Linked DNA regions of Cricetulus griseus. The main gene of each other region encodes a partner of the protein of the gene in region 2 in a complex. Links are inferred from orthologs where the notes say so. Each region holds a gene or a part of one and is shown on either strand. Other genes may lie near its edges.

The links.
Region 1: the proteins of Serpinc1 (region 2) and F9 are in contact, whole or in part, in a crystal structure (PDB 3KCG), measured with the Homo sapiens proteins. The link is inferred for Cricetulus griseus from reciprocal best matches to the Homo sapiens genes SERPINC1 and F9. Residues at the interface, in NP_000479.1 of Homo sapiens: Glu264, Asn265, Arg267, Glu269, Met283, Met284, Tyr285, Glu287, Met347, Val349, His351, Val420, Val421, Ile422, Ala423, Gly424, Arg425, Ser426, Leu427, Asn428, Pro429, Asn430, Arg431; in NP_000124.1 of Homo sapiens: Lys247, Val248, Asp249, Ala250, Phe251, Cys252, His267, Cys268, Glu270, Glu285, Tyr312, Arg358, Phe360, Lys362, Gly363, Arg364, Ser365, Leu367, Lys387, Phe388, Asp405, Ser406, Cys407, Gln408, Gly409, Asp410, Ile429, Ser430, Trp431, Gly432.

What each region holds. Positions count from the first base shown.
Region 1 is NC_048604.1:12,691,329-12,694,307, forward strand, and holds the end of F9 (coagulation factor IX), read right to left. Parts: intron 1,638-2,979; coding exon 1,523-1,637; intron 1,185-1,522; coding exon 637-1,184; downstream 1-636. UniProt on the Homo sapiens protein: Factor IX is a vitamin K-dependent plasma protein that participates in the intrinsic pathway of blood coagulation by converting factor X to its active form in the presence of Ca(2+) ions, phospholipids, and factor VIIIa.
Region 2 is NC_048598.1:31,064,704-31,068,527, forward strand, and holds part of Serpinc1 (antithrombin-III), read right to left. Parts: coding exon 3,550-3,824; intron 1,792-3,549; coding exon 1,727-1,791; intron 1-1,726. UniProt on the Homo sapiens protein: Most important serine protease inhibitor in plasma that regulates the blood coagulation cascade. AT-III inhibits thrombin, matriptase-3/TMPRSS7, as well as factors IXa, Xa and XIa. Its inhibitory activity is greatly enhanced in the presence of heparin.

The DNA.
Region 1 (2,979 bases), on a different chromosome or scaffold from region 2:
TCATGTTGTTCAAATGAAGTTTGAGATCCAACTGAAAGCAAATATGGGGTGGGTGGGTAGGGAATTTACAAAAGACAGTCCTTTTCCTCCTCCAATGGCCAGGGAGATGGAGAGTGTGAGTGAGTGAGGGGAACATTGATTTTGGGATTGGAATTTTGAAAAGATACAGAATTCAGAAGAAAAACAAGAGAGGAAGTCAAGCTTTTGATGAGTTTTAAACTAGCAGCTGCTCCTGTGTACTTTTTGCCTTAAATGGGCTAAAGATTCTGGATAGAAAACCAATAAATTTGAGAGAGGCAAGGAAGATCTGAAACACGGATTGCTTCTAAGGAGGGATAATTGGGTAAGTCATCACAGTTGAGAAGCATGGTGGACACCATGGAAAACTTCCCTTTCTAATTTCACCAAGGGCTGGACTCATGGAAACAGTAAAATCTCTCTCATCAAACCAGTTCTCTAGTAATTGCATTTGCTAACCTACTTGATCTCGTATAGTATAGATCCTAGATGGGATCCTCCTCTGCACAGAGAAAAATCAGTATCTATAGATTTAACAAGAGTTGCCAAATGACTAGTTGATACAGGGCGTGGTCTATTTTCAGCCCAGTGAATTGCCTTCAGAAATAGGTTTTTTCATTAAATTAACTTTGTTTTTTCCTTAATCCAGTTGACATACCGGGAAACCTTAGTATATATTCCATATTTGCCTTTTATTGCACACTCTTCACCCCAGCTAATAATGCCAGTTAAGAAACTGGTCCCTTCTACTTCAGTAACATGGGGTCCCCCGCTATCTCCTTCACAAGAATCTTTGCCTCCTTCCCTGTAACCAGCACAGAACATGTTGTTATAGATGGTGAATGTTGTGGACCGAAGGCATGTGGCTCGGTCAACCAGTGGAACTCTGAGGTACTGAAGAATGGAAGCCTGTCTCCCTTTGTTGAAGACTTTTCCCCAGCCACTTACATAGCCAGAACCAAACTTGAGGAAGATGTTTGTATATTCCCTATTGGCAACACAGATAGGTGTTACATAGCTGTTTAGTATTAAAGGTCTGTCCAGCTCCAATAAGGCAATGTCATGACTGTACTTATTAATAGATGCATTGTAGTGGTGATGAGGGATAGTTTGAATCACATTTCGCCTTTGCTCTGTGTCTTCCTTTTCATCAATGTTATATTCACCTGTTGAAAACAAATCTTGTAGTTTATTGTTTTTTGCACAAACATATTTCCCATGGGTCTACACTCTGCTTGGGTTCACTGATCACTAGCAACCAAGTCTCAATGATCTAATGTAGGGGGCGGGGAAGTTGATGCATAAAGAATTGTACCCTGCTGGGAGTGTTGTATGAGTTTTAAAAAAGAATTGTGGGGACTGGAAGGTGAAATAAGTTAGAATTTGAAATTATGGTCCATAGACCATTAGCCCGATTTAGTAACAATTCTATTGGACCTCTGTACAACATGATATGTCTATCATACACTGTTGTTGCTAATTATTATCTATTTGGTTTACTTACCTGCAACAACCTCAATTTTATCACCAGGTTTAAGACAGTGGGCAGCAGTTACAACCCATTTTTCATTAATGATGGCACCTCCACAGAATGCCTCAACTTCACCATTTAAGATGACCTGTGGGGATAAAATTAAGAATCTCACTGCATATGATATTTGATGCAGAGAAAAATGAATACATATGCTATTTTCGGGAGTGGGTAAAGTTGGCTTCTAGGTGCTGGCAGAATTGGAGGATTTCTGGAAAGTGTCAGCTCCACAGATGAATTAGTGTTTCTGGAGTACAAACTGAACAGCTGTTTCTCTAATGATCCTGAAGTGAATGCAAAAGGAGACAGAGTGGTAGGGACAGTGCTCCAGGCCAGGCAAATCTGAGGAGTGGCTTTTTTTGTGATGTGGGTCCTTGAGCTCCTTTTCCCATGTTACCTAGAGTGTGCTGGCACACACTTTTCAAAGAGATACAGTGTGTATGGAAGGAAATACTAACTCCCAAGGATGAATAATTACTATTGAGTCTCTTGTCTTGTATGGGGGCATCTCTTTGCTCCCGGTCACTTGAAAGAGAAAAATGACCTGTTCTCTCAGGAGTTGTTTCAAATTAAATTATTATGAAACGAGGCCCGAGGCCCCCGCAAGGGCTGTGTTTATTAGTCACCTATGTGCTGGTCACCAGCAGGACTCACACATCTCTTCCATCTCTCCTAATCATAGCCAGCTTTCTCTGGCTAGAAATGTAGGCTGTCCTTGTTCTAAAAAGTCTGCTTTGCTGTACTTGAGTTTTAGACAATGTGGACAAAAGTGTGTTGAGTGCTGCATTAAACATGGACATTATTAGATAAGAGGCTAATCTATTTTCTCTTGTCCATATTCACGTCATAATCAAAGGGGACTATCAATGGTTTTTTACCAAATCAATGTCTAAATCGACTTAGTTCCAGTTCCCATGTAAACAAAGGCCTTTTTGTGCCACATTTTCAGAGAGAAAACTGAGAAGTGTGGACACTAGAGGGCACACTCAGCATTCAGTCAACTCTTTGCAGGAGCCCAGTAGCGTTTGTGAACTGATGCCCTTCGCCTAAATTGGAAGTAGCCCTTCAGCTAAACCTGTTCCTAAACACAACAGAGGGGGATGTTGGTCCCTTTGTGTGCAGGGCAGAGATGGTCCTTTTGAAGGACTTGTTGTGGGTCTGAATTTAACTTGCTGAATAGCTACTGTGTCCTGGACACTGAAGCACTAGCTTTGTATCTAAAGTCCTGAGGGGTAACCCAGTTATTATAGCCCTCTCACCGCCTTTCCCATGCTCAGGCTCTCTGGCTCTTTGTAGGTATTGATTTATATTTTGAAAAATTGCAAAAATACAGAAAAAACACAATGATATAATAAACACCAACATTTCTACCACCCAGATTTAACAGTCTTCCTAATTTTATACATTTATTGAGTGAGTGATTATTGGGG
Region 2 (3,824 bases):
TAGACACAAATGGTCCTCGCCAGAAACATGCTCATCTTACATCCAGTGGATATAATGCACTGGGCTCATCCAAAGCCTTGCAAGAATTCCACAAGTGTAATTCTCAAACTAGAAGCCACATTCTGATAGCGTGGTTAAACATTATTAGAGAGGATTGTTTTGAACCAACTGCTAAGAGAAATTCAGCATCAAGATCCAAGATCTGTAATTGAAATAGATTCACTCTTGAAGCATAGGGGGAAAAAAAAAAAACCGGCTGAAGAGATGCCTCAGAGGTTAAGAGCATTGACGGTTCTTACAGAGGTCCTGAGTTCAATTCCCAGCAACCACATGGTGGCTCACAACCATCTGTTATAAGAGCTGGTGCCCTCATCTGGTGTGCAGATATACATGGAAGCAGAATGCTGTATAAATAATAAATAAATAAAATCTTTAAAATAAAAAAATCGCAGGTATAAATACTCCAAACAGCTACGCAAAACCTGTGGCTTAGAAAAAGACAATCCTCCAGTTGGATGACATGTTTTTCTTGGAGTAATAACCTGAGAAAACGATATTTGAATGACACATCTGAGGGCTGCCTTCAGAAAGCATGTGTCAATTGCTAACATTACTGTGTTACTGACTTTTCCCGGAGCTGAGGCTAGCCTGTCATTCAAGATGCTCCTGTGTCAGCCACCTACTCTGGTTTCTTTTAAACAGTCTCACTACGTACCCCTTGCTGGCTTTTAGCTTTCTTTATAGACCAGGCTGACCTGGAACTTGTGGCAATCCCCCTGCCTTTGCCTCCTCCTCTCCTTGACTCTTAAGCATGTTTGATCTCTGTGCTTTGTGGGGTTGGTTGATGGTTTTTTCCCCTTCCCCTTGGTTGTCCCACATCTATTTCATTCTCATTCTAGAACTAAATTTCTGAGTAGTGTGAAGATAATATCCAGCCGGCTGGGACCTCCTATCTTCCAGGAAGAACAGCCTATACCATTGGGCCTCAAACCTGATTGTATGTGAAGATCCCCAGTGGATCTGTGCAAAGAAGCAGATCCTCAGGCCCCACTCCTGGGTCTCCAAGGGTAAAGATCTCTACCTAATGCTATGGAGCCACACCTCAGTATCTGAGAATCAAAACTACAAGCTGCCACGCCCTACTCTAACACACAGTTCTGTGCTCATCTCAGTTGAGGGAAGACAGACTGAGCAGTACTCCACTGTTTTCCTCACTGGGACGTCTCAGATCTCAGCACACCATTGTGTGTAGTCAATCAATCTCTCAAAGTCAACATGTGCCTGCCTAACAAGGCTTCCTGAAATGCTATCTATCTCAGTAGTTCTAGAACACACCTGGGGGCACGAAGGTGACCCACTCTCATTAGTAGCCTCCTTTCTTATGTTCAGTTGCTCTTCACCCTTCACTTAAGCACATGCCCCTCCCCATTCTGTCCAGATTAGATATCAGTCTTTTACCCCATACTTTCCGTATTCCTGAAACCTCAGAACTCCCTTTCCTGGCTCCCTTTCCTCAGGCTACCCTCTAACTCTGCTTCTCTGGCAGGAGAGAATGCCACATGAAGGCAGAAGCTTCAAGCTCCTCCATGTGTACATGATTGAAGGCATACTGCAAACTTGGCTCTCCACAGCTCTCTCCTGCTGCTGTCTCTACCATCAGAGCATAGCAGGAAACTCTTCATCAGAAGATGCAGGAAAGACAGAGGGTGGAGGGAGATGGACTCACCTCAAGAAACGCTTTGTGGAACGCATCAGAGACATAGAGATCATTCCTGCCTTCTGCAACAATCCCTGGAAGGAAGAACAGGGAAGGGGATGCTGTGATTTGGCTTCAGGCCACACAGGAGATCAGCCTGAATGAAGACACCCTTCTGGGTGGTTTTCGAAAAAGAACCCTGATCCTCCCCTAGTTATAACCTCCACCCTTTCAATGGATGCCTCTTAAAAACGGAGGTGTCTGGGCTTCTTTGGCCTGTGTCTTGTGAATTTAATTTCATGTTAGCTTCTTGGGGGAAGGTGGAAGGGTGGGACTCTGTTCTTAAGGATAGAAATGTTTTTCCAGTCTGGTAACATTTTTGAGAGGTTTGGCTTTCAAAGCTAGTTTAAAGGTAGCCCAGTAAAGATAAATCCCATTACCCAATCAAACTCTTTCTTTGCCAGAATCTCTTTGTGTAGCCTGGGCTGTCACCCTGCCTCAGCCTTGAGTGCTGAAATTATAGTTGTGTGCCACCATGCCCAGCTGTGGGCTTCTTTTTGACATAGGTGTGCTGGGGCCAAAGAGATTGTTCATCAGGTAAGGTCACTTGCCACCAACCCTGACAACCCGAGTTTAATCCTGGGATCTACATGGCTTTGAACTCCTGAAAGTTGTCCTCTGACATCCACACACAGCGGCACTTGTGCATCCCCTACACACACCACACATAACAAATAAATGTATGGATACGTAAAAGACACTTCCAGACACGTGGCACACACCTGTAATCCCAGCACTCAGGGTGGCAATCGCACAATCAGTTCAAAGCCAGTCTTAGCTGCACAGTGGATTCCAGGCTAACCTGGACTACATAAGGCCCTGTCTCAACCAAAAACAGAAAAAATGAAAATGTGTTCTATAGTAAATATAATTTGCTATCATATTTCATTTTTATTTTATTCGAGATTTATTTTCTTATTTCTCTCTCTCTCTCTCTCTCTTTTTTTTTTTTTTCAGACAGGTTTCTCTGTAGCTTTGGAGCCTGTCCTGAAACTCCCTCTGCAGACCTGTCTGGCCTTGAACTCACAGAGATCCACCTGCCTCTGCCCCTGCCCCTGCCCCTGCCCCTGCCCCTGCCTCTGCCTCTGCCTCCAGAGTGCTGGGATTAAAGGCATATGCCACCACCGCCAGCTTATTTTCTTATCTCTCTCTCTCTCTCTCTTCTCTCTCTCTCTCTCTCTCTCTCTCTCTGTGTGTGTGTGTGTGTGTGTGTGTGTGTGTGTGTGTGTACATGAGTGCTGGTACCTATGGAGTCAGACCCCCTGGAGCTAGAGTAACAGGAGGTTGTGAGATGTCTGCCTTGAATTCTAGAAACTGATCTTCTGCAATAATGACCCATGCTCTTAATTGCTAAACCATCTCTCCAGCCCCTATTTTATTTTGCTTTTCAGACAAGGTCTTTTAAATAGTCCAGGCTGGCCTAGAATTCTATCTTCTGCCCCACCTCCCAAGCGTTGGAATTACAATCATGTCCCAGGATGCTTCGGTTTTAATGTCTGTCTCTTTTAATTCCAATGCTTTTTCAAATCCTTCTCCACCTGGTTTTATTTCCTCTATGAGATACAGATTCATAGGATGACAGTACTGGCTAGACTTCTGGAAACAAGAGCAAACACCCCCTTCTACAGGGGGCTGGGAAGGGCAAGGGATCGATCGCCACAGCTTATCACAGAGCCAGGATCAGAATCCAGATATCCTGACTTGACACTCTTTTCTGTGTGTTCCTCGACTCTCCCACATTTGGTCAAACCTTTACCTGGAGTAGAGAGGGGGCAGTTCTCTCCTGTACCAACCTGGGAGTTGGGCCTTATCAGGGTTGAACAGGTCAACAAGGCCCATGTCTTGCAGCTGCTCCTTCAAACTGAAGCTATCCTCAGTGCGGAAACGGGGCATATGGACCACAAGCATCGTCTCAGTCAGCTCATCCAGCCACTCCTGCAGCAGCTCTGGGGTGAGTTCCCGTTCCACCTTGGCCAGGCTCTTCTCAGGCTTGGGCAGGATGAGCACCATGGTGATGTCATCCCCCTTGAAGGGCAGCTCAAGCACCTGGGTGCCTTCAGCCACACGC